Diceros bicornis minor: one gene and its partners. The protein of the gene in region 2 purifies or fractionates together with the protein of the main gene of each other region. This does not show direct contact. Links are inferred from orthologs where the notes say so. Each region holds a gene or a part of one and is shown on either strand. Other genes may lie near its edges. The genes, in order: DNAJA1, OTUD5, GRB2 and MAPK1.

The links.
Region 1: the proteins of OTUD5 (region 2) and DNAJA1 purify together in Homo sapiens (affinity purification with mass spectrometry, with the first as the bait; 3 studies listed by BioGRID). This does not show direct contact. The link is inferred for Diceros bicornis minor from reciprocal best matches to the Homo sapiens genes OTUD5 and DNAJA1.
Region 3: the proteins of OTUD5 (region 2) and GRB2 purify together in Homo sapiens (affinity purification with mass spectrometry; 3 studies listed by BioGRID and IntAct, with this or other methods). This does not show direct contact. The link is inferred for Diceros bicornis minor from reciprocal best matches to the Homo sapiens genes OTUD5 and GRB2.
Region 4: the proteins of OTUD5 (region 2) and MAPK1 purify together in Homo sapiens (affinity purification with mass spectrometry; 3 studies listed by BioGRID, with this or other methods). This does not show direct contact. The link is inferred for Diceros bicornis minor from reciprocal best matches to the Homo sapiens genes OTUD5 and MAPK1.

What each region holds. Positions count from the first base shown.
Region 1 is NC_080761.1:53,103,144-53,110,862, forward strand, and holds the start of DNAJA1 (dnaJ homolog subfamily A member 1), read left to right. Parts: upstream 1-4,716; 5' UTR 4,717-4,821; intron 4,822-5,934; 5' UTR 5,935-5,937; coding exon 5,938-6,069; intron 6,070-6,221; coding exon 6,222-6,399; intron 6,400-7,719.
Region 2 is NC_080781.1:42,207,483-42,215,417, forward strand, and holds the start of OTUD5 (OTU domain-containing protein 5), read right to left. Parts: upstream 3,008-7,935; 5' UTR 2,252-3,007; coding exon 1,658-2,251; intron 1-1,657. Other genes in the region: KCND1 (potassium voltage-gated channel subfamily D member 1), read right to left, coding at 6,775-7,000. UniProt on the Homo sapiens protein: Deubiquitinating enzyme that functions as a negative regulator of the innate immune system. Has peptidase activity towards 'Lys-48'- and 'Lys-63'-linked polyubiquitin chains. Can also cleave 'Lys-11'-linked ubiquitin chains (in vitro).
Region 3 is NC_080757.1:55,882,639-55,890,091, reverse strand, and holds the start of GRB2 (growth factor receptor-bound protein 2), read left to right. Parts: upstream 1-4,437; 5' UTR 4,438-4,626; intron 4,627-7,453. UniProt on the Homo sapiens protein: Non-enzymatic adapter protein that plays a pivotal role in precisely regulated signaling cascades from cell surface receptors to cellular responses, including signaling transduction and gene expression.
Region 4 is NC_080774.1:30,335,467-30,343,434, forward strand, and holds the start of MAPK1 (mitogen-activated protein kinase 1), read right to left. Parts: upstream 3,001-7,968; 5' UTR 2,801-3,000; coding exon 2,685-2,800; intron 1-2,684. UniProt on the Homo sapiens protein: Serine/threonine kinase which acts as an essential component of the MAP kinase signal transduction pathway. MAPK1/ERK2 and MAPK3/ERK1 are the 2 MAPKs which play an important role in the MAPK/ERK cascade.

The DNA of each region.
Region 1 (7,719 bases), on a different chromosome or scaffold from region 2:
ATTCTTAAGTTCATCTGGAAGAATAAACACACTAGAAAATGCCAGAAAAATTGTGAAAAGAAGGAGCAATGAGGGGAAACAGGCCTCCCAGACATTAAAATGTATTTATTTTAGGGGCCGACCCGGTGACACAGCGGTTAAGTTCTCGAGTTCCGCTTCAGTGGCCCTGAGTTCGCCAGTTCAGATCCTGGGCTCAGACCTACTCACTGCTCATCAAGCCACGCTGAGGTGGCATCCCACATAGAAGAACTAGAAGGACCTACAACTAGGATATACAACTATGTACTGGGACTTTGGGGAGAAAAAGAAAAAGGAGGAAGACTGGCAACAGATGTTAGCTCAGGGCCAATCTTCCTCAAAAAAAAAAAAGAAAAGGAAGAAACCACTTTACTCTGTAGCATTAAAAAAAAAGTCACATAAGAACATTTACTAAGGGGCTGGTTATGAAACAAATTACTAACTTTCCTCTGTATAAAAACAAAATGTATTTTAATGGAAACTTAGTATACAATTAAAGTGGCATTTCATATTACTCAGGAAAGATAGAGTATTAAAATTGTGTTAGACAAACTAGCTGGCCATTTGGAAAAAAAATGAAGCTCAGTTACTTACAAATAATCCTCAGCCCTCACACCAAAACAAATTCTAGGTCGAATAAAGATTTAAATGTAAAAAATGGAACCACGAAGTACTAGAAGAAAACCTGGGAGAATACATTGATAATGCTGGATTGGTGAAGCCTTTCTAAACATAACAAATAAAGGAGAAGGGGGAGGCGGAGAGAAGGGAGGAGAAGAAAAGAAATGCAAAAGTCAAAAAAGAAGAGTTAAAACTTATCTAAATAAAATTAAAAGCTTTATATGGCCAAAATATATACATAGAGATACAGGTACTAAGTCAAAAGCTACAATACATCAGAGAAAATAACTGAGACACACGACAGACTAAGACCTACTATCTCTAATGTCAAGTGCTATTACATATCATTAACATAGTGGAGTTACACCACAGAAAAACGGTCCAATAAAAAGAATGGACAGTTGACAGAAGAAGAGTTGGTAAACATTTAAAAGATGCTTAAGAGGCCAACCCCGGTGGTGTAGTGGTTAAGCTCACGTGCTCTGCTTTCATGGCCCAGGGTTCACAGGTTCGGATCCTGGGCACAGACCTATGCACCACTTAACAAGCCATGCTGTGGCAGGTGTCCCACATATAAAGTAGAGGAAGATGGGCACAGATATTAGCTCAGGGCCAATTTTTCTCAGCAAAAAGAGGATTGGCAACAGATGTTAGCTCAGGGCTAATCTTCCTCACCAAAAAATAAATAAATAAAAAGATGCTTAACCACATTATTAAAGAAACTCAAATTAAAACAACAGATATCACATTTTAATCCCTAAGGTTAGCAAAGATTTAAAAAAACACAGAACCCTCCATATTGGCAACACCCACTCATGCTGCTGGCGGCAGTACAAACTGACATGGAAAGTTATTTATTACAATTTTAAATTTGCATTCGCGTTGACCCAGCAATTTCAATTCTAGACGTCCATCTTACAGATATACTTGCTTGAGTGCCCAAAGCTGTATTTGAGAATTTCTCTGCAGCATTGTTTGCAAAGCATTGGAAATTGCCAAAATGTTCATCAATAAGGGAATGGTTAAATAAATTATAGTGCCTGCATACTATCTAATATAAAGTCGTTAAAAATAACAAGGTATATTTATTTATTCTGACCTGGTAGGATGACAATAAATTAAGTAAAAGGGCAAGTGCAAACAGCATGTATAATATGATCTCATTTCTTTACAAGAAAAGATCACATACTAAATTATTGCTAATCTTTTTGCATTTTATGTAAATAAGAGTGCTTCTTAAAAGTGTTAACTTCTATTACTGAAAAGCCAGAATATTCATCAGGACATATTTTCAGCATCACTGAGATAAGTTTCTATAAAGGGAAAAATGTCAAACGGAACATATGTATTGATGTTTTTTAAGGCAACTAAGAATCACCTAATTTTGCTGTTGGGGTGACAAGTTACTAGTTCAAAGCTTACACTGGGAGGAGGAAATTTTATATTTTTCTAATTTTTAAATAAATACCACATTCAAATGGGTTAAATATTCCAAAGTTACAGAAGGGTATATTGTGAAATGTCTCCCTCTCATCCGCCTCTCCCCAGCACCTAGCTCTCCCCACAAGCAACCATATTACAAGTTTTGGGGTATCCTTCTGAAATATTCTATGCACACACAAGCAAATAAGTACAGTTTTTCCCTTCTTGTAACCAACTTTTATGCCCCTTATGTTATTCTTAATAAACAATTAAGCTCACTTAGTGAGGTTGCAGATTTTAAAAGCATTTTCAATATCATGTTTCATAGTCTTAGGTGCGCACTCTCAAGGAGGTTATCTTATTTGTATCACACTTCCATCTTTCTAAAAGTTGTGGGAATTTCAACTGGGTTCCTTAGGCAAAAAGAAACACTAAACATGGTAGGATTTATGAAACACTAGACATGGTAATATTTATTGTGGAAACTCTTGGTTGAAGTGATTTGATATACACAGTACTGAAGCTCATTTCACATGCTTAACCAATGTTAGATTCATAGACACAGTTCATGTTACAGTAGAGAAGGAACTTTGGGACTACAACACCTACATAACACATGAACAATATTTATTATTGTTCACTTACTGTTCTTTATTAACTGCTCATGTTTTCACAACTGCCTGTCTCTCAGCCTGGATACTCATCTGGACGGTGCCAGGTCCCCCTACTCAGCACCCCAATACTCCTTTATTTGCATTTATCACACAACTTCTCCTTTACGTGGTGACCTCCTTGCCGGCAGAGACCATGACTTCGTGATTTTCACATTATCAAGCCCTAGTACCCTGCCTGGCAGCATTAGACTTCTAGTAACTGCTAGTGAAAAGGAAAAACTTTATACCAGAGGTGGTATTTGAGAAGGTAACATCTAAGATTGGAAAAATTAGGTGTTTGTCAGCCAGAACAAAAGCACAGAGAGGTGAAAAAGTGCCTCTGGGAAACTGCAGATAGTTCGGTGTGACTGGCATGCACCTGTTTTGTTGTTTTGTTTTTTTGCGAGGAAGATCAGCCCTGAGCTAACATCCATGCCAATCCTCCTTTTTTTTTGCTGAGGAAAACCGGCCTTGGGCTAACATCTGTGCCCATCTTCCTGCATCTTATATAGGACACTGCCACAGCACAGCCTGACAAGCGGCACATGGGCAAGTGCCCAGGATCTGAACCCCCGCCGCCAGCAGTGGAGCGTGGGCACTTAACCGCTATGCCACGGGCCGGCCCCTGCATGCACCATTTAAATAAAAGAGAGAAGACTGAATACGCATGGGGACGCCTCCAGGATAAAGTTCAAAAACTGTTTAGCAAGACATACCAAGAGGTGTTCCCCAACTAGCTCTGAACCCACACTCCCTGCCACTCCAGCTCCCTTAGCCCTGGCTATATCCAGTTACTTGCAATTTCCTGGAAACATATTCTTTCACACCTCAGCCGTCCTTTGTACTTGTCTTTTGCTGGGAATGCTCTTCTTTCTTCAAAACTCTGCTCAACCGCCCCTTTCCCAAGGAAGCCTTCCCTGTTCCATCAGATGAATACAGGAGCCTCTCCCCGGCTAACCTGTCTTGTGGTGCCCTTATAGTGCATTGACTTGTCTGGTTCCCCACTGAAATCTAAGCAATGTGAACCCGGCTTTTCCAATTTTGCATCTCCAGATTTCTTGGTGCTAGATACTCCTAGCGGTGGTGTTCAGGGAGGAAGACAGACTCTCTTTTCCATTATACCCCCGTTCCAACATTTGAAAGCCCACAATCACTTTGCAGACCGTAGATCACGGTTCACAGACCTGGGGGGGGGGGGGCTTAAAAGTTAAGTCAGGTAATTGAAACAATTTGTTAGCTACCCTTGGTGGCCACTCTGTGTCCCCGGCTCGCCAAACCGGGGAACGCCCAGCCAGAGCAGTCCATGGCGCTCAGTCTGCTCCAAAGCATGACAACGTCTCCCCGTTCAGCGCTGCCCTGAGCCCAGCGTGCAGGAGCCAGGAGGCCGCGGCAGACAACGTGTCTCGGAGGCTGGACTTGCACAGAGAGCTCTTCCGAGGCCGCGGGCTGCGCGTGAAAACGAACCAGACCCAAGGCCTGCGGGACTGTTCTGTGGCCCAGGACCCTCTTGCTCAGCATTTCCTGCTCGGCGGGTTCCCAGAACCTCAGGGCTAAGGAAGCACGCCGGTGAGAGGCCCCAAGAGGCGAGCGAGGCGCCAGCGGGAAGAGGCGCGGAGGGGCTTTGTCCCGAGATGCCCGCCCCGCACCCAGCGCCCGCCGGGCCGGTGCCCGCGTCCCCCCGTCCCCGCGGGCCCCGGCCGCCGCCTCGCCGGTGTGGGCACCCAGCTGCAGAGCACCGGGGCAGGCCCCGCTCCCGCCCGACACTTCCGCACTCTAGGGCCGACCGGCGGAAAAAAAGGGCTCCAGAAAGTTCCACGAGCGCCGGGAACCCAGGCTAGTGCCCACCCCCACAAGGCCCTTCGGCAAGCCCCTCCCGGCCCGAGCGCCCCCGCGCCGTTGCCGGGCAACCGCGGGGCGGTGGGAGCGCCGGGAAGGGCGGGACTTCCGGTGGGTGACGCGACCGAGCTCGGCTACAAAAGACGACGGCTGCGGCGCGCCGGGGGAACTTTCCAGAACGCCCGGTGTGAGGCGGAGGAGCCGCGACCCGAGCTGCGCACAGCAACGCGCTCCCTCCCGCTCCCCCGCGCCGGCCTCGGCCCGCTCACCGGTGAGTGTCGGCCCCCGCGCGTCCCCTGGCCCCCATGGCGGCGCCGGGAGCCGGAGGGAGCCGCGGCCGGGGGCGGTTGGCTCCGCGTGGGCGGGAGGGTTGTCGGTTCCCGGACCCACGATCTCCTCCTTGGAGGGCTGGTGTAGTGCCCGGCCACCCATCCCCGGCCCGCAGCGAGCGACCCCGAGATTCTCCCGAAGTTTCCCCGCTCCCCATCCAGCTTGAGGTCCCCGCGGACCCGCCGGCGGCGGCTTGCCCGCGCGCGCGCGCCCCCCAGCGACCCTCTGCCCGCGCTCGCCGGGGTGGGCGACTCTCCGCGCACGCGCAGAGGAGCCGAGGGGCGAGGGGCTGCGGGCGGAGCGGGCGGAGGCTGCAGGTTTCGCTTCTCCGCTCTGCCCTCCTTCTCTTTGTTGAGCCCTGGGCTTCGCCTCCCGCCGCTCGATCTCGGGTGGGAGGGAGAAAAGGAAACCTTCACCGTCGGCGCCCGGCGCAGGGGGAAACCTGCCGACGTGTAGAGTGGGCCGGCTCGTGGAGGCAAGGGGGGTTCCGCGGGCGAAGCCGAGGAGCTCTAAGTCCTGTGATTGAGAAACATCCTTGGGGTTGAGGGGGAGGGGAGCCTGCTCTCTGGCGCCGGCGTTCTTAATTAGTTTCAAAACCCCTCCCAGCCCCCTTGTGCCCAGGTGTCTTTTCTTCTCTGGAGGGTATGGTTTATCAGATTTACCGAAGACGAAGATGATGTAATAACCAGTGGACTGAACCTATTAGTGCTCCTTTTGATTACTGCTGCCGCTCACTGCTTGGGGAGGCGAACAGGAAGGGTCCAGATAATAGTCGCGTTAGTGTGGAGGCTTTCATGTGGGAGAGGGGAACCAGCTGCTGTAGAAGGAGGCTCTTGAATTATTCCCTGATAATTATTAGCTTATATTTAGTCTGTTAGAACTCAGGGCTGAATTATCGAAGGGATCGTTACCTTCTCCGTGAACTTTAGGGAAGGCGGTGCTCTTATAATCAGATTTGGCGAAGAACAGATTTCTCTGCTTAACTCTGATTTTACTAATTAAAACTACCAGTTGAAAGTCGGTTAAAATTGCCTTTTCTTGTTTTATGCTGTAGAAAATGGTGAAAGAAACCACATACTATGATGTTTTGGGGGTCAAACCCAATGCTACCCAGGAAGAACTGAAAAAGGCTTACAGAAAACTGGCGTTGAAGTATCACCCTGATAAAAATCCAAACGAAGGCGAGAAGGCAAGTAGCATGCTCATATTAAACATAGCTGGATAGTTCTTTGCCAGGTGTATGGTATTTCTATTACAACCTGAAATTGACTATGTCTAATATAGTGGTTTTGCTTTGTAGTGTTTTTTTTAGTGAAATTTATTCCCTTTTTTCTCAAACAGTTTAAACAGATATCTCAAGCTTATGAAGTGCTGTCTGATGCAAAGAAAAGGGAATTATATGACAAAGGAGGAGAACAAGCCATTAAAGAAGGTGGCGCAGGTGGCGGTTTTGGCTCCCCCATGGACATCTTTGATATGTTTTTTGGAGGAGGAGGAAGGATGCAGAGAGAAAGGAGAGGTAAGAAGAGCCTAGTCCCCCTGCAGCAAATTAAAGAAGCCCTGGGTCAGAGCAAATTCTTGAGAATTCACTTATTTTAAATGCTTATTTATGTGTCGGTATAGTGTTGCAAAGTGACCATAAACTGCCACTTTGATTTACGGTATAGTTTTTTTAAATGAGATTTGATGTAACTAAAAATAGCTAAGCCAATCTAGTGCTAACAAGTGAGTGCTTCTAAAGCTCTCAGATACAGACGATTTCTGTGAGGTTATCCGGCATTAATTACAGAAACAAAGAATAGGCACATAATTTTTTTTTAAATTTAAAAATTAAAAAAAAATTTAAATTTTTACAAATCTTATTTGACCCCACCCACCTAGTGGGAGGTACTGACAAGAGGGAGTTAAAGTTCAGAAACCTAAAGTTTCCTCCAGGTTGGATGTAGCAAGGCAGCAGTTGAGTCAGGGTTGGAGCACAGGTTCTTTGCCAGCAAGTAGCCCGCTGTCCCTTGAATCTTGCTTTGGCTTTCTTGTATCAGAGTATGTGTCCTAACATTTAACAGAAGTGTGGTTTCTGAGCTGTGGAAATATTCTTCATAGGAGTACAGTGTTGGGGTCAGAGAGTTAGTCTCACTTTGTTCCCAGTAGGGTTTATACAAACAAACAAACAAGGGCTGATGGGTAGAGCCCATTTCAGAAGGAATAGGCAAGCCATTAAATTTCACTTGGAACTGTTTCAGATTGAGATAAGACTGGAAATTGTTTATTCAGTGCTCCTTGAAAGGGGTATGTTTTTATTTACTTAATTTTAAGAAATTTATCCTGAAATAATTTGCAATGAAAATCAATTGCTTAGGATGGTTTGTCCCACAGAATAGTAGTGGTCCTTTTTGTTTTTTCCGCTTCTTTTTTTAATGAAGAGTTGACCGGCAGGCTCTTGTGTGTGGCTTAGGTCAATGAAAGGTCGTTTTTTGGTGTGACACTGGAAAATACTTGCTGAATAGAGCTGCAGCAGCTTTTTTCCTTCCCTGTACTCCACACTCGGTGAAGCTGCAGTGAGAGCGGTTGGCAGCTTTTGGCATGCCAGAACCAGCTACATGGGACTGTATTTATGATTCAGAACCCAAAGGTGGAGGTAGGTAGGAGCAGAAGGATATAGTTAATGGTGCTTCACACTTCATTGGAAACTTGGCATGTTGTGCAGATGGGAGTTGGGGGATTTTTTTCATTTACACATAAGGCATTACTGTCTTGTGATGGATAAAGTCCTTGTGGAAGAATCAGTAGCTAGGAACTTATTAACCATTGGCAGGTGACTTCGTTTCCGTAGTCTCAGTAT
Region 2 (7,935 bases):
AAAGTGTAAACTCTTGAGGGGAGATTCAGGACACTATTCTCCAGGGACTCTGTATCCATGCCCCAAGGGAAGGGTCTCAGGGCTCCATTCTGGTGGGGAGAGTTTTCCTGTTCCTGAGGGGTACCTTAAGTTCCTTGAGGGGGAAGCTCAGACCTCATCTCTAGAGACACACTAGTCACTGGGGTATATAAGGGTCTCCTGTCCTTGAAAGAAAGTGCAAGCGTCCTTAGCACACTGGGTCCCAGGCCCTTGAAGGCAGGCTTAGATCCATGGTGAGGCCTCAGACTAAATCTCTGGGACTCCATGCTTCCCATGTCCCCTGAAGAGTGGTCTCAGTCCCGAGTTCCCAAGGCAGGGATCTTACGTCCCTGACAAGAAGCTCACGCCGTTACGTGTGGGGAGTGTGTGCTCAGATGCCTATTATAGGGGAAGAGGGGGCTGTTATGTCCCCAAGGTGTGTTTCAGTCCTTCATAATTGGGCTAGAAGGATCTCACATCCCTGTGTGTGTGTGTGAAGGGGGGGGTCTCAGATTCCTAAGAAGAACACTCAGACACTAGCTCCTGAGGAGAAAGGTCCCCTAAAGACCTCACCTTGCCTGGGACCTGCGGAGGGGTATCAGTCTCCTGAAGAGGCTTCAGACCCAGTCTCTGAAAGCCCCAGTCCATAAGCAGGAGGATCTTAGGCTCCAGTATCCAAAACAGTGAGTCTCACTTTCTTGAAGCAAGGCTCAGGGCAGGGAGGAAGCTGAAAGTCTAATGCTTAACAGAAGCTTAAGAGAGATTCACTCTGGTCCCCAAGAACGTCTCAGACCACTGAGAGGAAGCATAGACCCTTGTCACTTAGAAAGGAGATGAGTTTCATATGCCCTAGTAGAGTTTCTGGTCCCTGGGTGTTTTGACCCTTGTCCCCAATGGGAAGGAAATCTTATCTCCCTGAAAGAAGTCTTATATACCTGGAGAAAAGCTCAGAAGATCCCTCTCTCTAAAGAAGACATATATGTGTGTGTCAGGCCCATGATTCTAGAAGAGGGAGTCTCAGGCCCTTGAAGGCAGGCTTAGGACCCTTGAGGAGGTCTCAGACCCCATCACTGAGTGGTCCTGCACTGTGTTCCCCTGAGAAGAAGGTAGAGGAGATCTGTCCTATATAGTGTCTCAGACTCCCGAAAGGATTTAGGTATCTTGGGGACACTCAGACATCTCTGAAGTCTCCACCTCACTTGTGTTCCCTGAAGACGGAGTCTTAGACTCTTATCCCAGAGAAAAAGAAATCTCAAGCCACTGAACACAGACCAAAGTTCCTTGGAGAATCAGGAGACACCCTTCTCAGAAAGCATTCCATCCTGCCTGTGTCTCCTGGGGAGTTCCCACCTATTGGCCCTACATGATGAGGTCCCAGGGCCGGAAATGACGACCATGAGTCCTCAAAGTAACCACAGACCTCATCTTTAAGTCCTCCATCTCATCTGGGGCCTCTAACACCAAGTTCTTGAGAGGAGGAAGAGGGTGTCTCACACCCCTACCACCAGAGAAAAGAACGCCAAGCTCCGGGAAAAGATGTTAGGGCCCTTGGGCCGATCTCAAAAACCTTCCTCGGGTCCCTACCCAGCCCGGGGATCCCATCGACCAGACTCACTCACCTGCCACCCCCAGCCCATACCTGCTCGACGGTGGCAGGATCCATGGCCTCGATGCGTGCTGCAGCTGCTTCATACTCATCCTCGCTGTTGTAACCTGCGCCGACCTCCTCACGCTCGGGACTGCCCCCGCCAACCGCGCCAACCCCAGGCGCTTGACGCCGCCGTTTGCTGTGACCCGGCCCAGAGCAGCAGCTGCCCACGCCTACACCACCGCCCACGCCCACCACCACGCCCGCCGCGCCCACACCCGCCGCCGCTGCGCCCAGCGCGTCACCGGCACCGCCGCCGGGTCCGCCTGGGCCCCCGCAAGGAGGAGGAGAGGCCTGCTGTGGCCGCGGGCCTGCCACAGCGCCTGGCGGCACGGCCAGCGCCCAGCGGTGAAGCGCACCCGGTGGCCCCGGTAGCGGACCCTGAGGCGGTGGCGAGGCCCGGGAACGGGCCCCCACAACGCCCGAGTCACGGTCGCGGTCGCCACCGCCCACGCCCGTGCCGCCGCCGCCCACGCCCACACCCCCGCCGCGGCGCGGCGCCGGGGGCAGCGGCCCGGGCGGCGACGGCTCGTTAGCGGGGTCAGAGTCGGGAGGCGGCGGCTTCTTTTTGGGGAGAATAGTCATGGCGGCACCGCCGAGTACCCCCCAGCAAACCCGGCGCGGGGCACGCCGGGAGAGAACCCGGATGAGGGGGCTACTGTGGTGCGCGAAGCACGATGGGATCGGCGGGACCCGGATAAAGAGATTGAGGCACCGGTTCGAGAACTCTCGGCGGCGCGCGGGTCACGCGGCAGGAGAACCCGGATGTGAAGTCCAAGCTGAAGGCACCCCGGCGAGTTTGTCGTAGCCTTCTCTTCAAGTCCAGCAAGTTTACTGCTACGCTCGCTCCGGCCTTCTGCTTCAAAGGAAACAGAACCAAAACAAGCACCTCTTCGCCCCGCCCCCTCGCAGGTTCTTGAACTACCGGGTGGGGCCCCGGGACGCTGCGCACGCGCGCCAGGGCACAGCCCCGCCTCTCGTGCGGAAGTACGTGGGCAAAATCTTCGCCGCCGCCACAACAATTGCGGGCAGCAACCAATCGAAGCAGCTGCGTGGGTCTTCGATGACGCCCACAGGCCAATCAGAGATGATCGCTCGCCCTCCCGTGCCCTCCGTCTCAAATTTCAGTCAAGTCGGCACCCTCGTTCCTTGCCTTCTTGTCGGCCGTGTCCGCTCTTTACTTCTCTCTCCGAGGCTCTGACTCGCAGGCAGGAGTACTGCGACAGGACAGCGTAGCCTGCCCCACGCAAGATAATTTTAAAAGTACCTCCCTACCAGGCTTCTAACTTGGCTGCAGTCAGCCGGACTGACGAGAATATCAACACTCCCAGAGCATAGCAATCCCCTGAAGCGTCAGTTCCGGTCCCACCCACCGGCAAATCCACATCCGACGGAGAGGAGGGCGCCGCTTCACCCTGGCAACAGGCTGAATTCTGCGATGATTGGTTAAGAGAGGCCGTCATTCAAGTCGGAAGGCCAACCATGGGACAGACATGCACCGTGGTGTTTGGGAAACAGACACGCCCACTTTGGCACCACCGCATTCTCGCCCTCGGGTTGACCTCCCCGCCCCTGTAGCTAGTGCGCAGGCGTAGCGCAGCCTTTTTTTCTGAAACTGAGTTTACCTGGATCGAGAAGTCTATGAACCAGGTCTGTCACTGGCCAGCGTCTCGCAATGGGGTTGGTAAAATCCCTGCTACTGAGCTACTGGAGAGCTACAAGCTAATCTTAGCTCTGACCTTCCTGTCTGAGTGATCTCCGGCAAGTCATTTAACACCCTCCATCCTCAAATTCTACTTCTCTGTAAACTGGCAATGATAATTCCATTTTAATGATCAGAGATGAATGCTTGTAATGGGCTTGGTGCTGTACTTGGCACGTAGTAAATGCTCAATAAATTAGTCTGCGTGACGGTACAATGGAATGGATCTCAGGCTTTGGAGTCAGGAAGAGTCCAGTTCCAGGCTTCAGTTCCAGGCACGGATGGACCCTTACCAACTGTATGACCTCGAGCAAGTCATTGTGTCTCAAATTTGGGGTTAGCCATGTGTAAAACGGGAGTGATAATGCCTGCCCAGACTCCCTCAGAGAGTAGTTATGAGGTTCAATAAGCTCATGAACCGAGAAGGTGTTGTGAGAGGTGAGGGCTCACTACCAGTCTTAGGAGCCGAGCCATACAAGAGGTTGACAGTGAGACCATCAGAAAGCCCTTCTGAGTGCGACCTAACCTCGCTTCAGATGCTGACCCTAGTTGAAGTTCTTCCCTGAAGGATGTCAGTAATAAACGGACTGTTGTGGTGTTTTCTGCTCTTGAGACAATGAGAGGAGAGGACTCACGTTTACTGGGCCTATTGTGTTCAGGGCACTGTGCCAAATGCCTATGCACATTATCACATGGAATCTTCTCATGACCATCTCACTTGACCCATACATCCCACTCCCTACTGGATATTTGGTCAGCACTACATATCTAAACCTGAACTTATGATAAGAATTGTAGCTAACCTTCACCGAGTACTTACTATGTGGCTGGCACTGTGCACTAACAGCTTTGATGTTCCCTTTGACAGTGAATGGCACCCCAATCCAGCCTTTCCCCAAGCCAGAAACCAAGAAGTCAACCTTGACTGTTTCCTCTTTCTTAACTCCTGCATGCCTGTCAATCCCAAATTCTGCCCATTCTATCTCTCAAATCTCTTGACTCTCCAACTCTTACTGCCACTACCTGATCCAAGCCACCATCACCTTTCAACTGGACTTCTGCAAAAGCCTCCTCACTGCTCGTCCTCCCTCTGGGACTGTTTCTCTATAATCCGCTCTCCACAGACAGAATGATCCTTCTGAAACACAAACCTGAGAGTGACTTTCCTGTCTATAAGCCTTCAGAGGTCCCTATCATTCTTAGTATGAAGTCTAAAACCTGTATCATAGCTTCAAAGGCCTTTTATGATCTGGCCTACCTCTGCATCTTCACCCTCCTCACAGCCTCACACTCTCCTCCCCAGCTGTACTGAACTAATTTCAGTTCCCCAAAGGCCCTGAGCTCACTCTCTAACCTTCCAGCTCATTCATTGCACATGCTGTTCTCTCTGCCTGATACATTTTCATACTTTTGTCTTTTGCCTGGCTAACTCCAACTCATTCTTCATGTGTCGGCCAGATTAGGTTCTCCTGCCATCTACATGCTTCTATAATCTATCCATCTTAGTTCTACTGTACTGTATTGTAATCGCTTAATTGCCTGCCTTCCATGCTCACCTCTGTAGATGAGAGATGATGTCTTCTTTGCCCATCTTTGTCTCCCTAGGGCTAGCACATGATATGAAGTTAATACTTGGTGAATAAATGAATGATTATTTCGCAGATTAGCAACCTGAGGCAACAGAAGTAATTTTCTCACGCAGGGATTGGAACCCAGGTCGACCTGAATCCAAGGTCTGTCTTCTCAGTGCTCCACAGAGCTCAGTCACACACTAGCCTAGTGTACCCGGGAGCTCAGAAGAGAGAATGTAGGAGACATCCACAAGGAAGGGGAATTTGCCAAACTGAGAGATGCTTTTCATTAGGGTTCAATTCAGAGCTGTTTGATGTCAGGAAGCCTCGGTTTAAGTCTCCTCTAATCAAGCGTGTGCTGCTCTGGGTCTCAGTTCCCCCATCTGTGAGTGAGGGAGCTGGAGCAGATGAAGTTCAAGGGGCATGTCTCACGACCTCCTAGCCTGCCTTGCTGGCTGTAGATTCAACTCTTCAAACCACCCTCTTTCATTTCTCCTAGATTCCCATCTTCCAGAACACGTCACCAACCATCCACCTCCCATACCTTTACCCACAACCAGCCCTTCTCCAGCAATACTTTGAAATCATAGTATTGTTAACCCCCTAGCCCAATCCAGCCCCCAAACCCACAAAGCCAGGAGGTGCTCAGCCTCATCTCTCCTCTCAGATTTTATTGACTGATGGAAACTACATCTTTGTCAGCCTCCAACTCCACAGGGACAGTGCTGGGGACAGGGAACCTGAGATGATGCCAGATTTCAGCCTGAGAGCAGACACAGAGTTCTGGAAGGTGACCCAAAAGGGAGAAGAAAGAGGAATATGTGAAAAAGCATTGTGGGAGGAGGAGATCAATAAGTTCCTCCTGCCTCCTAGAACTCCCAGAGTTCAGGAACAACCCAGGCCCCAGCCCTGATGCTTCTGGACTCCTGCCCAAGAACATGGAATTAGCCCGTGATCTCCAAACACAGCCCTGCTCTTGCTAGCTGCCAGGTCTTATCTCAGCCAGTCCAGACTCCAGCCCAACCCAGGAAGGGAGCAAACCAGAGAAGAGAGAAGGAGGAGTAGTTAGAGGTGGCCCCTCTGATTAGGGCAGATGTAAATGCTGCAGCAAACTGGGCAAAGGCTTTGCATAATGTCATGGCAGCAACTGCTATTGCTAGAGTTGGCTGGGGGCCCAGCAGAGGACGGGGTTGTGGGGACCCATTTCCAGCAGCCAGGGAAGGTGGGTGGTGTTTGTGCTATCTGTGTGTGTTGGGAGAGGCAGCCTGACCCCTGAGCCAAGGTCTGGGGGTGGCAGGTCACTGCTGAGGCACAGCTCATGAAGCCTGTGGTTGCATTCCAAGCTTCAGAATCTGGGAGTTATTGGGCCTGGTGGAGGGTGGGGACCTCTCCTAAAGGCCAGATCAGAAGTGAGAGTTCTTTTCTCTGAACCTCCAAACCTCCACAGCCCGGCCAGAGAGAAGAGGAAGTCTCATCTCTCCTTCTTACGCCGAGCTCAGATGTCAGGTGGGAGCCCAACGGCCCGAGGGGAGGAGCATGCAGGAGGCCAGCTCAGGAAGAGGGGCCAGTCCCAGTGTGCTGGGGCAAGGAGGCCAGGGGCGCGAGGAAGCCCAGCTCTTCAGCTCCCACAAGGAAAACTGTCTGGGCTGGGGGAAGTTTCCCATTCCCTGGCTACTTCCCCACTAGGTAGGCCATTCCATGAAACTCCATTGCATAGTTCTCAGTGGGGGGCAGAAGGGGTCCCCAGGCCTGCCCCTCTCTGCCTCTCCAAAATATGGCTTTGGAAAGGAGTCCCCAAGAATCAAGAGGGCTCTCTGGATGGGCGGGGCCGCCCCTCACAGGGAAGAGATCTTGACAGTCTCAGGGAGGAGGCAAGGGGTACCCAGGCTGGAGTTCCTGAGGGTGCTGCTGGCCCCGCCGCCACCACCAGGGGAGGAAGGTTGGCTCTCATTTGGGGTGTTGGCAGGAGGGGTAGGGATACTGATGATGGCAGCCACGAAGTCCCGGCTTTCACAGTTCAGGTCAAGGCTGTCATGGGGCTTGGCATTGAGGCTTGAGCGGCTGTGGATAGGGTGGGAAGATGGAAGCTTCTTAAAAAGTCATCTTAATACTTGCCACATCAATCATGACATTTATTGGGTGCCTACTGAGTCCCTGGCACTGTGCTAAAGGCTTCCCCTGACTCCTCAATTATGGTGGTACAGAGTGAGGGCTCTGGAGTCAGTCCTGGGGTCGAATTCTGGTCCCACTGTAACCACTCTCAACCTCTTTTTTCTCTCATCTGTAGCATGTGAATAACAGTATTTCTTCTTGTAGGGTAGTTGTAGAGAGTAAATGAGATAATAAATGATACAAAGTGCTCAGAATAGTGCCTGGAACATAATGAGCACACACACAAAAATGTTATCTATTATGGTTACTCTTTACAATGCCAAAGTCCTCACAATAGTTGACAGTAAGATCTACAAAATCTGGTCCCTGTTTCTTTCTGATTTTACCTGCTATCATTCTCCCCCTCATTCACTCCACTCTACTCACAGTAGCTTCCTGGCTGTAACATGGAGACGCACTCCTGCCTCAGGGCCTTTGCCCAGGCTGTTTGCTATGCCTGGAAAGCTCTTGCTCTAGATATCTAGATGGCTCACTCCATCACCTCCTTCAGGTCTTGGCTCAGTCATCACCTCAGCAAAGCCTTCCCTGAGCACACTATTAAAACTGCATCATAGAGGGCTGGCCCAGTGGCGTAGTGATTAGGTTTGCATGCTCCGCTTTGGTCGCCTGGAGTTTGCAGGTTCGGATCCCAGGCATGGACTTACACACTGCTCATCAAGCCATGCTGTGGAGGCACCCCACGTACAAAATAGAGGAAGACTGGCACGGATGTGAGGTCAGGGACAATCTTCCTCAAGCAAAAAGGGGAGGATTGGCAGCAGATGTTAGCTCAGGGCCAATCTTCCTCACCAAAAACAAAACAAAATAAAACAAAACAAAACACA
Region 3 (7,453 bases), on a different chromosome or scaffold from region 2:
TGGCTGAGCATTGAGGCTGGACTTGTTGGCAGCGGCTGGCCATGGAGGGCCATGTGGAGCATGCTAAGGACTTTGGACCTTATCTGTGACCCCTTGATTCAATTTGTATTTAAGAAAGCCCACTCCTGTCCGCCCCGTGGCTTAGCGATTACGTGTGGGCGCTCCGCTACTGGTGGCCCGGGTTGGGATCCCGGGCGCGCGCACCGACACACCGCTTCTCCGGCCATGCTGAGGCCGGGTCCCACATACAGCAACTAGAAGGATGTGCAACTATGACATACAACTATCTACCGGGGCTTTGGGGAGAAAAAGGGAAAAAAAGGAAGAGGATTGGCAATAGATGTTAGCTCACAGCCGGCCTTCCTCAGCAAAAAGAGGAGGATTGGCATGGATGTTAGCTCAGGGCTGATCTTCCTCGCAAAAAAAAAAAGAAAAAAAAGAAAGCCCACTCCAGCCGCAATGTAGATATTGACTTGGAAGAGGGCAGGATGATAAGTAAGCAGGCCAGAGCATCCCTCCAGGAAGGATGGTGTCATGGACCACGTCAAATGATGGAAATAGAGTCAGGAGGTGGAGGAAGCGAAGTCACAAGACTTGGGGTCCCCTTAGTAGGCTCAGCGTCAGAGGCCACCCTCGAGGCCTGAGAGGTGTATGCAGCTTTGACTTACAACTTGAGCAAAGGAAATTCTAAGATGAAAACTTAGAGCTGGTGGGAGAATTTCAATGACCAAGTTTAAGTTGTCACTGGCTGTCTGATATTTTCCCACTAAAGAGAAGCTCAGAAATGTGGGCTCAGAGGATGCACCTGAGATGGTCTGGAGGCTGCTCCTACCGGAGGGGGTTAACTGTCAGGCCAGTTTCCTAGGGACTTTCAAGGTTCAGTAAATGCCAGGCAATGTCCAGTTCTTAACGGCAGGTGGCAGCATCACAACTCACAGAAGGCAAAGCAAGAAACTCTTTCCGACGACTAAAAATAACTGCAAACCCCAACCGAAAAGATGGATTTTTTTTTTTTGTCATTAATTTTTGCATTCTGAAGTGACTGATGTGGCCAGGTTGTAATCAGCAAGTTTTGCTACAGTTACAGCAGGTTTTCACACCTGAGTGTGACTTTTACTTCACAATTTGCCTCATTCCAATTTCTTTTCACTATTTAACACTAATCACACATACATTCAAAACACTACTGCCTCTAGTGTGTTTTTTTCCTCTGCGTGGAATGATCTTGGGCAGCGTTCTTTTAAGTTTCTGAGTCTGTGTCTGTAGAAAAGAATTTTTTATTGAAAAGACAATGTAACAAATGTTGAATTTTTTTTGTCACCCACAATTGCTTCATTTCAACACAATTATTTTTACTCTTAAATGTTCCCTTCCAAATCTAGTCCATATGCATATATTTTTACACAGACATACTCAGAGTCTGTTTTATCAATGCTGCATTTTAAAAGGAAGTGCATTTTTTTTTCCTTTTCTCTAGGCATCTAGTCTCTTCTGAGATCTCACCCACTTCCTTAGCTTTAAATATCACATTGCACAGAAAAGCAGCCACATCTTCCTCTCTAGTGAACCTCTTATTTATTCATCCATCCATCCATTTATTCACTCCATGCACTGTGCTGGGAGCTGGGAATACAAATGTAAAAAGGCGTGGTCCTGTTTGTCTGGGAGCTTGTAGAGCATTGGGGTGGGGGTGGGGGGACACAAAAACACACACAAATGATAATGCTGCAATGAGATTGGAGGTACAGTGGAAATTTTGAGGAAGAAACCCTAAAACTGACTTGGGGGCCTAAAGAAAGGGAAGAAGGCCAACTGAGCAGAGGAAACTGCATGTGCAAAGATACGGGCACTCAAAAGATCATGGCACCTTCTGGAAACCACAGTGGTTTGGTATTGGTGGAGTGTGTTGGCTGGAGACTGAGAGGGTGGGGTTGGCAGGCAAGGGCCAGATCCATAAGGATCTTGCAAAGGACTTGAGATCTTATTTTGTAGATGATAAATATCTTAGTTCCAACTGATTTTCCACTCTGCAGCCAGAGTGATACCTATTTTGAAGATGAAAATCTGACTGTGTGTCATTCTCCCCCTACCCCCGCCCCCACCTCCCCAGCCCTGCTTCAGTATCCCATAGAATCAAGACCCTAGTTTATGGCTTCCTTGAGTTCTCTCTTACTTTATGGCCTGTGCACATGCTGTACTCTCTCCGGAGAACTCTTTTCCTCTCAGGCTAACCAGGGTCTCAGCTTAAACCTCTCTCCTCAGCCTTCCCTGAACCAGACTGGGTCAGGTCCCCTGCTATATGCTCCCAAAGCTGCCATCACTGCGAGTGTCATACTCTCGAAGGTATGTCGTGTCCTTTAGGCTGCAAGCTCTGTGATGCGTTATCCTGCCATCTACAGAGTAGACGCCCAGTTAATGTTGTGAAGAGGACTAATGAAGGCATTGGGATTTTCAACAGCACACTGGATATTTCCACCTGCATGTCTCCTGAAACAATGAACTCTACATTTCCAAAACTGGGGCATCATCCTTACCTGCCTCTTCCCTGTACCTCATCACCTCCCTCTCCCCCGCCCAGTCAGCTGCTCCTCTTGACTGGCAAATTTCTCTGTTGTTCTCCCCACTTGAAGCAGGGAGCTGCAATTCTTCCTTCATTTCCTCCTCCTCTCTGCTCAGCAGCTAAGTCTTCCCTTTCATTTCTTTCTTTTTTTTTTAATCTGGCTACCATTCTAGAATAAAGTATCATAGTGGGGGAAAAAATGGGTTTTAGAACAAGACAGGCCTAGCTTTAAATCTCAAGTCTACTATATTTGGGTTTCCTTGGGTAAGTTACTAACCACTCTAAGCCTCAGTTTCTGAGTCTGTAAAATGGGGACATTATCCACCCTGTAGAAACACTATGACTTTAGTACACATCAGGTGGTAAACAGATTGGTCCTCTTGTTATTTTCACCTCATATCAGACATCTACTGCTCAGAAATCTTCAGAGGTTTCATATCACTTGAAAATGAAACTTAAGCCATACATCTTGGCCTTGTCTCTCATTACTCCTCCCCCTAAATCCTAAATTCTCTCCAATCTGAAATATTGGCTGATTCCGTCACTCTTTCCTCTCTGCTTTCACGTTGCAGTTCAAACACCAAGTTCTCCCTGATTACCTGAGCACCAAGTAACTGGCTCCCTCCTCTGCAGTCCTATATATAGTTCAATGGCACTAGGGCCAACTGTTTTGCCTTGCAGACTAGGCAACTCTGCTCTAGATTACAAACTGCTGAAAGCTGAGGCTTTGTCGTGTTCATCTGTTATCCTGCATAGCGCCTCGAGTGCAGTTGATGCTCAATAAATCTTTGGTGAAAGAACAATTAATTTTCCTTTTTCAATGGGCTTGTTTTCTCTATAGAATCAGGTGTTTGGTTATCCTCATCTCCCTGACTATTTTGTTGGCTTCCAGAGAGCACATTACCATTAGATGCATTTTGTTCTCTCCTTCAATTGGAAAGAGATTTTGGAACCGAAAAATAAAAGTTACTTCTCCAAGCCTCATCTTCTGCCACTCCCCCGTACTCACCCCGCCTAGTACAGGAATCGAACTACTTAGCATTGTACAGAACACGATTCTCTCTCACGCCTCCCTTCCTTTGTACCTGCGTGCCGTTCCCTTCGCCTGGAATGCCCTTACCCCGCCTTCTCTGTCTGGCGAACTCCTACTCATCCTCCAAGACTCGGCTCAGACATTACCACATCACCTTCTCTGGGAAGGCTTTTCTGAGATGGGCAGAGTGGCGACCCCTCTCCCCGCCTTTTAGCTTCCTTAGCATTCCTTTTAGCTTCTTGAGCATTCCCCAAGTAATTCTAACAGTACTTATGGCGTTGTTTACATTTCTGCCAATTTTCTAGACGGTGAATTCCTTGAGGGCCAGGATTTCTGTTCGTCGTTGTACCTGCTATACCTTGCTCAGTGCTTAGCATGCATTCGACACTTGATTAAATCAACGAGGGAACGAATCTGTTAACTCATCTAACACTGCAGAGTTTGGACAGGATTCTCAAATATTTCAAGACCTAGTCTTCTATTTGGAGTGCTTCGTGCTGGAGACTCCCCTCTCTCCTCCCCTAAATTGCCTTGGTTTGGCGGAAGGGAAAGGGAAGTGAGTGATTAGTACGTGCATAACAGTTACTTCTGGGCTGAGCTGTAATTTATTTGCTCCGGCACCGACCGGGTTGCAGCGACCCAGGGGGCGGAGCCATGCCGGTGCCACCTGCTGCGGGGCGGTCTGGCGCATGCGCCGTGGCACCTAGATAGTCTCTACCTGCGGGGGCCCGGCCGAGGAGGAGCGCTTGCGCTCTAGGCCTTTTCCGCCGGGGGAAGTCTCGTGGGGGCGGGGCGGGGCGGGGCCGCGCGGGGAAGTTCTCGCGAGACCCTGACGAGGAGCGGAAGCGGGGAGACTGTCCTGTTTCGGCTACCGGGAGGCGGCGGCGGCGGTAGCAGCAGTGGCTGTGACGACGGCTGTGGCGGTGACGGCGGCGGGAACAGGCGCTGCCCTCGGGGAGCAGTAGTGGGGTCGGCAGCCGCTCGCACCGCTGCGGAAGGGCCAGCCGGTGCGGAGCAGAGCAGCTGCGCCACGGTGAGTGCGGACGGCGGCGTCGGCGCTGCTCCGGTGCCTTTTCCTCCCCGCTCCGCGGCGGGAGTCGGCCCGGGGGGACTGGGCCCAGCCTGCCGAGGCCGCCGTGCCTGGGGTTCGGGGTGGCGAGGCCGGGGCGGGGAGCGGAATCCCCGGGGCTCCGGGCTCCACGTTTCCCCTTTTGGGGCGCTTCCTTCCTGGGGACTGTCCTCTCCCGGCCTTTGGCTGGAGGCAGAGCCCCGGACTCCGGGGCAAGAGGCCGGGGGCTCCTAGTTAAATTCCGCGGCTTTTTCATGAGGATTTGCGCAGAACGGGCCCGGGAGAAGCCCGAGAGCACGGGGTACTCATTCTGTGAGTCAGTCTGACTCGGCCCGGGAGGCGGGGGATTCGCGGCGGGCTGCAAGTGTGTTGCTTGATGCTCCTTCGACCTCCACGGCCACCACGTCACCATCTCCTGGTGTCTGGGCCGAATTTTGGGAAGACACCCACCAACCCTGTTAATACAGTGAGTTAGAACGTTTGCTACTGGAGCCATTCGCGATGCCTTTACTTCTGTCGCTCCTTTTGAACTACTCGCTGAAAAATATTTGTCAAGAAAAATAAGCAGCACTTGGTTGAAATGCTCCGAGGAAAGAGTTTAGTGAGAGAGGAGAGAGAAGCACGGGTTTTTTTTCGTTTGCAGCGCTCTCCATATATATGATTGTAAGCCATATGAGTTACAGCTAGTTATTCCAGGTTGTCTTCAGATGCTATAAAAGGACAGTTTGCAGAGGAGCTGAAGTGCACTCGAGGTCTGTTTTTTGGTAGCTGACTCAGAAAACAGTCGAAAAGACACAGTGAGAGAAATTGGCATTAGTCTGTTTAGCATGTCTGTTTTGTCCGTCTTTTCACTTAGTACTTCTCCAGTTGTTGCCTTTTCTTTCTATCTAGTTCTCTCCGTTCTACTGCGGACACTAAATGCTTATTGGTATAATGCAAGTCATTTGCCCCCTCCCCCAGCTTTTTTCTAATCTACTTCCCCTTCCTCCTTATTGTCCCCTTTCTGGCATAATTTTTCAAGGTTTCTGCTCTTTGGCGCAGTTCGTTTTCTCCCTCAATTAGATTCCGTTTTCTGTCCCGGGAAGATACCCTCTTTCCTGCTTTATCCTTTATTTTTAAGCGTCCACTGTGTTCCTTCAGTCAGCCAGAAGGGTTGCTAGAGAGCCATGCGAGACTTAAGTTCTCCCCCTGGGAACTGGGAGGCTCAAAGGATTGAATTCATCCGTAAGTAATCAATACTGCCACTAGGTCACAAGTGCAGCTTGCTTGTGTTATTTGTGTTTTAGTTTTTCTTCACTTTAAGATCATGCTTTTGTGCCTGCTTATGCTTTTCTTTCTATATCACTTTTATGTTAGTAAGGAAGATTGGGTCAGTTGGGGGCTTGTGTGACTTCTTTTTGGCTTTTAGTGGGGGTGGTTAACGTTAAAAAATGAAAACCAATCACAGACCTATATTACAATAGAGTTAAGATAACATGAAACATTTAAGGGAATAGAATTTATTTAGACCATTAATAAATTAAAGCTTGCCTATGGTAATAGTACTAATTATTTTTTACTAGGCTTTATTTATTTATATTTTATTTATTTATTTTTTAAAGATAAGGGTTATTCTTTTTTTTTTTTTGGTGAGAAACATCAGCCCTGAGGTAACATCTGTGCCAATCCTCCTCTTTTAGCAGAGGAAGACTGGCTCTGAGCTAACATCTATTGCCAATCCCCCCCCCCCACACACACAAAGCCCCAGTAGATGGTCGTATGTCGTAGTTGCACATCCTTCTAGTTGCTGTATGTGGGGCGCGGCCTCAGCATGGCCGGAGAAGCCGTGCGTCGGTGTGCGCCCGGGATCCAAACCCGGGCCGCCAGTAGGGGAGCGCGCGCACTTAACCGCCAAGCCACGGGGCCGGCCCTACTAGGCTTTTTTTAAATCAGACATCTTTTCCTACATCTGTTATAATCAGCCTTCTTTGTTATGGTTGTCAGATTTTTTTGACATAAAGAATTAACAAATAATAAAATATTTGTTTTGTTGCCCCTTTTCTTGTTCAGAATTTTCCGAATCCTAAAACAAAAAAAAGGAGTTAATTCTTGTAATCGGCTTTCTTTGATACTAAAAGCAAGCATTTAAATACTTGAGGCAGTTTACTTGCTCAGCTTGTCTATTCAGGTTTGAGGGATTACTAGGTTTTAAATACTACTAGTTGATGGTACTTAGAGATTTTTCTCAGTAATTCCTGTTATCATGTTGCATGTTGTGCAGCAACAGTTCTAATTGTTAGCTAGAGCAGAAGAGTAAAGGACTTTGAAGAAATGAAGTAATACAGAATAGAGACCCACTATGCTCTCCTGAGAGAAATTAATAGTTACTTGCATAATTCAGAAGAACTTTCCAGGGCCCAGCCTGGTGGCGTAGCGGTTAAGTTCGCACGTTCCGCTTTGCCGGCCCAGGGTTGGCGGGTTCAGATCCTGGGCACAGACCTGCTCATCACTCATCAAGCCGTGCTGAGGCGGGGCCCCTATAGAAGAGCTACACATCTACAACTGTGATACAGAACTACGTACTGGGGCTTTGGGGAGGGAAAAAAAAGAAAAAAATGGAGGATTGGCAACAAATGTTAGCGCAGGGCCAATCTTCCTCAAAAAAAAGAAGAAGAAGAAGAACTTTCTGGGACTACTGAATGGCCGTTGAGAGTCGTGGTTTTATGTGTCAAAGTTCGTTTTTTCCCAGTTGTGCCAAGTGAATATGCATTATTTTCATTTTATGCAAAGACATTGTAGTGCATTATCTGGA
Region 4 (7,968 bases), on a different chromosome or scaffold from region 2:
AATAAATAAAATTAAAAAAAAAAAAATTTAACATTTCAATCAAGAAGCCCTCCATAGGGACCGGCCCAGTGGTGTAGTGGTTAAGTTCTCCCATTCCACTTTGGTAGCCTGGGGTTCGCCGGTTCGGATCCTGGCCACGGCCCTACTCAGCACTCATCAAGCCACGCTGAGGCGGCACCCCACATAGAAGAGCTGCAACTCTAGGACTATGATACACAACTATGTACTGGGGCTTTGGGGAGAAAAAAGAAAAAAAGAGGAAGATTGGCAACAGATGTTAGTGCAGGGCCAATCTTCCTCAAAAAAACAAAACAAAAAACAAACAAACAAAAGCCCTCCATAAACCCAGTACTGTTAATCAACATTTACTAAATGCTAATAATGTATAATGTAGATTAAATTCTTACTAGGGTATATCATCAACCTGAAGATAAAAAACTATAATCTGGACCCAGGATTCTAATTCCAATGATATTCATATTTTACTTAGGTAAAGGAAATTACAGCAAAAGTACTTGGCACTTCACCTGATAGAGACTTAGGTCAAATAACTCTACAGTAGTGACAGAAACAGTTACTAGATCTAAATCATCTAAAGACTAGTAAAAATCTTATCAGATAGGAAAAAAAACTTTCAACTGAAATGTCCTAAATCTAAAAATTTTTTCAGTCCATATTTCAGGTGTTACATTTTTTAAAAGGGTCAAAGGAATGTGATGGCCAATTGTGAGCCTTTCACAATGAGACACGTTCACAGGCGTCCTCACCAGCAGGTGCAAGAGCAATCAGATGTATGCAGAGAAGTGATGCTGCCGGCAGTACTTGCTCTCTGTTACTTTCTAGGGCCTTATTTCTTTTAGACTTAACCTAATTTAATTTCTTTTTCGGCTCCTAAGCCTCTGAGTTCACATTAATTTCCACAGTTGGACACCATGAAGCATTTTGCTCCAGAAGAAAACGAAAATATTCAAAAATCTGTTAGTCCTTTTTTTTTTTTGTGAGGAAGATTGGCCCTGAGCTAACATCTGCCAATCCTCCTCTTTTTGTTTTTTATTTTTTGCTCAGGAAGACTGTCCCTGAGCTAACATCCGTGCCCATCTTCCTCACTTTATATGGGATGCCGCCACAGCATGGCTTGCCAAGCGGTGCATCGGTGCGCGCCCGAGGTCCGACCCGGCGAACCCCAGGCCGCTGCAGCGGAGCGCGCGCAATTAACCGCTTGCGCCACCCGGCCGGTCCCTATTAGGCCTTCATTTTAAAAAAGAATTTTAATGAGTCTTTCTGTCTAGCTATGATACCTAGTAACACATGCTCTCTATGGCATTTCTAAAATTATAATCATTCAAATTTAAATGTGTTTCTAAAATAGATTTGCTTATAACAGTAAAACATACTAAAATTCTAAAATTACTAATAATACTATTTAAGGAAAGCAGGGAGTAATAGGAAGAGCTGCAGCATTTGAAGTAGGATCTCAGTCTACAATATCAAGTCTGACTCTTTAGTTTTATGACCTTAGGGATTGGCTTCACCTCGAAATACTTTCTCACCTGAAAGAGGGATATTACCACCTCTTCCTCTCTTGAGGTAGCTGTTCATATAAAATGAGATAACGTACCTAGCACAGTACCTGCCAAGTGTTCAATAAATATTAATTTGCTTCCTACAATCAACACAAAAAGACACAAGAAGATTTAGCTGTAAGATTTAGGTGTGTCTTCATCAGCACAAAACACTACAGCTAGTTGGTTCTAATAAAAACAATACCGTCACCTCCATTCCACAATCTGAGGGATCTGGATCAAGATGAGAGAGCCTGCACGTGATTCTGCAACAACTCCATTAAGGCTGTATATATACTGACCACTAAAACATTAATAGGAAAAGTCCACAGTAATTGTGCTAAAACGTCTGGAGACGTTTATGCTGATAAGAGCGCTCACTCGAGGCAAAGAAAAAAAAGTCAAATTAGGCCCAACTCCAGATGACTCCTTAATAAATCAAGAGAGCGATGCTGGCTTACTCTTCCTGAAACGCAAACAGTAAAATATTAAAATCCACTTAAAAACTTCGAGATTGAAATATTCCACAAACAGCACTGGTGCCGCTAATGCTTTTTAGAAAGCCTGCGCAGGAGAGCACCATTAGCACCACTAAAGATGTTTCATGAAAGCCGTTCGCGGAAAACACAGGCGACGGGAGGAACATCGTATGTGATTATTTCGGCATTCTGTACACACCCCGAGGCGAACCGCTTTCAAGACCACGGCCGCCGCCACCACCGACAAACATCTGAAGGAATTCCTGGCTTTACAATCGGATGTGCAAAGAAGGCTGGCAAACTGGGGGACGGGAGGCGCCACCGTTCCCTGCCCGGGGGTCCTCGCTCTGAAATTCGCGCTGCGCCCGGTTCCGGGAGTCCCTGGTCCCGACCCCCGCCCCCCGCGCCCCTCCCCGCGGCGGGTGAGGGTCGACCCGCGAAGCGCCGCGAGCAACACGCAAACCTCGCCCGGCCCCAGGGCCCCGCCCGAGGCCCCCGGTGCGCGGACCGCGGCGAAGCCCGGGGTCGAGGTCGCGGCGGCGCAGGAGGCCGAGGCGCGGACGAGGCCGCAGCTGCGTCCGCGGCGGCCCCGGGCGGTGGGCGGCGGGCGCGGCCGGGCCTGCGGGCGAGCGCGGACACTCACCACACCATGCCGTAAGCGCCCTCGCCGATGTACGAGAGATTGGTATAGCGTGGCCCCACGTCGAACACCTGCCCGCGGACCATCTCCGGGCCCGCGCCCGCCGCCGCCGCCGCCATGTTGGCTGCCCGGCCGCCGCCGCCGCCGCCGCGCTGGGCTCGACGCTCCGCGGCCGCCGCTCGGCCCACGCCGCACCTCCCGGAGGGACCGCGCCGCCGCCGGTGCAGCCGCCGCCGCTGACCGGGAAGCAGCAAGGAGGTCACCGCTCAGGAAGACTCGACACCCAACAATCCCTCGAACCGACTGCCTGCTTGACTGACGGACGGGCCGGCGGGCGGAGGGAGGGGCGCGCGCCGAGGGCGCCGGGGCGGGGCCAGGCAGCGTGCACGCCGATTGGCTCCCCGCGGCCTGGGGGCAGGGCTGCGCGGGCCGGCGGAAGCGGCGAGCTCAGGGCGAAGCACTGCGGCGGCGGCGGAGGCACCGCCCTGCGTGGTCACGTGTGTTCGCGGGGGAGTCGGCGCGGGAGGCGGTTCCCGAGATGCAGGAGGTTACGGAGGCGTTGGACAGATTTGGGACGTGGCTTGCCAGACGGTCAGGGGAAGGGAAATACCCAGAGTGGGGGTTCTGGCGGAGCCAGAGAGCCCCCGGGGACTGCGCGTGAGAGACGAGGACGCGCCACACACGGCCGCGGTCTGCGCCAGGCGTGTGCGGGTCCGTGGTGCACACACGAACTTAGAGGCCTCGAGACGAGGATAGGAACCGAAAGGCGTGACCGAGACCGAGAAAGACGTTTGCGTACTAAGAAAGTGTGAAATACAAAGGTCGAGACCAAAAGGAGAGACTCTGAGAGGATCCGTTACTCAGACAGAGGTTCATTCAACGAGTGTTTGTGAAGCACCTGCCATGTCCCTGGGCATGCACCCTCACAGAAGTTACATTCTAGAAGGAGGCATAGATTAAATAGAAATATATACATATGAAATACTCAAGTTCTGGTAAGTACTATGAAGAAGTATAAGGCAGAGTAGGGAGTTAGGGAGTAGTGGAGTGAGACACTAGAGAAAGACATTGAGATTCAGAAACTGAGACCCAGATTGCACAGATGCACAGAATCTTAGACATAGGACATACTGAAGTATGAATGCAAAGATGAAAACGCTAAAACCAAAACATCCATATCTAGAGAAAATGAGACAAACACACTTGGGCTCAGAAATAGTCACACACACCAGAGGTTGAAAAGTAAAAATCGGAATCCTGAAGCAGATGAATGCCAAGAATAGCTAACACAATGAGACAGAAAATGATGGAGCCCCTGCTTCTGAACCATTTCCCATGCCATCTTTGGAGGGGGAGTCAGGGTGGGAGATGATGCATTCTGATTGTCCAATACTGTGATCTTGAAAGCCATCAACTCAGGACTTTCAGACATCAGTGAAGTTCAAGTAGTCAGTCTCAAAGGTGATTAAGCAAATTTTTAAAAAACCCCATAGGAAAAAAATATGTGGCACATGAGAAAAGAAAGAAAGTGCTAGAGCCGAAACTTAATCTTTGAAATATATTTAGTCCATGAAGCAGAACCCAGTTTTAGAAAGCACCTAATGCTTATTCTTGATTATAAGAGGACATTGCGTCTTTTAAAGAACAGGCCAAAGTAAATGGAGAGTACTATGAAATTAAAACCACTATAACCAAAGCAAAATTCAGTGGTCAAAGCAGTAAAAGGCAGATTTGATAATGCAACAGAGCAAATCAGCAATATAGAAGATAAATATAAGAAAAATTCAAAGTGCTGGAATTCTTTGAGAAGAAAACTTCATGGAGAGTCAAACTATAGGAATTCCCCTAACAGAAGTCAGAGCAAATCAATTAGAGGCAATAATTAAAATGATAATAAAAGAAAACTTGCCTTAGGTCTGAAAAGATCTGAGGTGGAGATGGAAAATTGGGTGAGTTCGCTGGGATGCCGAAAAATGAATGAGCAGAAACCAACCTCGAGACATAATTTCGGGGGTAAAGAACAAACACAGTATCCAATCAGAAAAAAAAGATTATGGTAAAAACTGGTTTTCTTTAGATTCCTCCTCTGTAATTAAATGGAAAGGAAAATGGAACAAGATTGACAGCACTCTGAGGGGGTAGGTTGTAACCCTCCTTGGAGGGTTTCATCCCCTCCAATGCCTTGATTCCTTCTAGGTCTTTAACTGTTGCTCAGAATCTGCCTCCTGAAGTTCAAGTCATCTTGTCCACTGGACAGCTCCATGTGACATCATCCTCCAAGAGCTTCAACTTCATATATCCAGACTGCCAGTGGTTAACTGGAGGAGTTCTGCACTCAGACTGCCAGAGGGTTTGAATCTTTGCTGCTCCACTTAGTACCTATATGAGCTTGGCCTCAGTTTCCTCGCTCTTAAAATGAAGATCACAATAGTACCTACCTCATAAGTTTGTTGTACAGAATAAATAAGACAATATATGTAAAGAGCCTGGCACATAGTAAGTATCCAATCAATGTTATCTGTTATTGTTATTTACCCCACTGAAACGTGTTCCTCATCTTCTATCTTGGATAGCATCACCACCCAGATACTCAAGCTGGAGGTCTGGGTATGATCCTTAACAACTCATTTTACCTCGCTCCCAACCCTCCCCCTTTCCAACCAGTCACAAACTCATATAAATTCTATTTCTTTAATATTTCTGAAATAGTTTCTACTCAAAGTGTGGTCTCCAGACCAGCAGCACCAGCATTATTTGGGATTTTGTTAGGAATGCAGCACCTCACCCCAGACCTACTAAATCGGGATCTGCATTTTAACGAGATCCCCAGGTGGTTCGTATGCATATTAAACTTTAAAAAGCACTGTTTTCTTTTTTATTTTTTTATTGATGTGTAATTAACATACAACATTGCATTGGTTTCAGGTGTACAACATAATGATTCAATATTTGTATATATTGCGAGATGATCACTGCAATAAGTCTAGTTAACATCTGTCGCCATACGTAGTTACAGAATTTTGAAAAGCACTGTTTTAAATGAATCCACTTCACCCGCACTGCCATCCTGTTGCGTAAAGCCTGCTGCATCAACTCTCACCTAGGCTACCACAATAGCCTTAACCCTTCTGCTTTCAGTGTTGCCAATCTCCAATTGCTTCTCCTTATACCCAGATCAATCTTTCCATAACACATTTGACCATGTCACTCCCCTTCCTAAAGCAAGTCAGTGGCTCCCCATTGCACTCAGAGTGAGGCCTTTGCTGACCACCCCTCCCCCACCACTCTGCTTAATCTGCCTTCCTTGTGCTTCATGCTTCAACCAGACTGGACTACTCTGAGTTCTCTTTGTCTTTCAGTGTCACCACATGCCTGTCTCTCTCCCTGTAACGTGTTCTCTCTCCACTCTTCCAGCATTTGTGGACATTTTAAAGCCACCACACTATCATGGCATGATGCATCTGACCACTAATTTTCTCCAGAGAACTTCTCTTGCGTGGTTCCATGGGAACTAAGTAACGTTATGATTAAAGTTTGGCTTCACTTGTGGTTTTTGACAGGGAAAGTGCACTGACCAGAGGACAGCCCTATTCAGGTCCTTTGGCAATTACTGTTCATTCTAAGATGGGATTTAGATATACATCAGTCTCTGCTGAGTCAGGTTAGCATGAGGCAGGCCCAGAGGGAACAATCATCTAGCTACATTGACAACAACAAATTTCTGGAAGCGCAAAGCTGAGGGCTAGGCTCTGGAACCATACTAAGCCACTATAGAAGCAGAAGACCTTGCTTGAATGGCCAGCTGGCCACCTGGATGTCTTCCTTATTGCCTCTCTAGAGTGGTGACAGTTCACAGATCTGCAGAATCTTAGAAAACAATGGACATCTGTCATTTTTGCCTATATAGCATCAACTCCTCCTCCTTCTGCTAGCAAAAAACCAATTTTACTTTGGTGAACCATCCCTTCTGCACTCTTCACCCCCAAGTCAAGAGTAAGTATGTGACCCAGGGCTCCCTAATCAGAGTCACAGATGGTTCAAAGGATGGGCATGTGACCTGATCCAGGCCAGTGACACTCAGCCCAGACTTGGCAGAAACAATGAGAAAGGAGTACTTCCTTTCTGTTGGGGTGCTACGGCAGTGAGTATGAGTCTCAGGCCAAACATGCCTTGATGTGAGAAGTGCCCTCTGAGAATGAAGGTAAGACGGGGAAAGCAGAGCCCAGAGATGGAGACAATTTCCTGATGACACGGTTTGAGGCTGTATTCAACTGAGCCTGGACTTTACAGGTTCGTGAGCCAATATATTCTCTTTTTTACTGAAGTCAATTTAAGGTAGGTTTCTGTAACTTGAAACCACAAGAGTTTGTGACTAACACACTACCCAGTTAACTCCCTTTTCTGCAAAAATTGCTCAGAATTTTATAATAAATCACTGAGACATGAATCAGAAACTCATGAATGATGAAATGAGAGAAAATTGGCACTGAGCCTTGAAACCAGCTAAAGATAGAGAGATAAGTGAATAAAAACACCACTCAGTAGAGACTGTTTGATGCTGATAAGTTGAAATAATTGTTGTCACTATGGTAACAAACAAAATGCAAAAGAAAAGAATTTGAGACAGAGGATTTTTAACCTCAGATTAATTCAATGAAAACCAGAGAGGAAGAAAGAGGGTAGAAAAAGCAAGGCACTAAGTCTTTTACATAAAGTGAAGATAAAAGTTATTTTTAAAAATAGTATAATTTTCATATTTTTTTAGTGTAAAATGCTTTATGTCTACCTTATAAATTATTATAGGAGATAAAAGGGAAAATGTAATTCACACAGCAGAAATCAAGAGTCCTGTACCAAGAAGTGTATTAGACACTTTCCTCACATTGTAGATGTGAGGAAATGGCAAGGAATCATAAAAAACAATGCCAAAACACCAAAAAAATAGATGATGGGAAGTTAAGACAAAGTGTAACAAATAAGGCAAATGTAAATAAATAAGAAAAACATAAATAGCTAAAATTCCTGTATAAAACTATGAAAATCTCAGATTAGATCAAAAGACAAACTCTGAATATGTACCATTGTAAGAAAGAAGTGGCCAAGAATACATATAGTATAAAGAGGTATTGTGAAAACAAATGCACCAAATAGCATAGCAACACAAAACAGGAAACACAAATCTTTAGAAATATGTATGACTAATAGAAATACAGTTATAGTAAAATATATTACACACCACTATCTGTGATATATAAAATAAACAAAAATTAAAATAAAGATAGGTTAA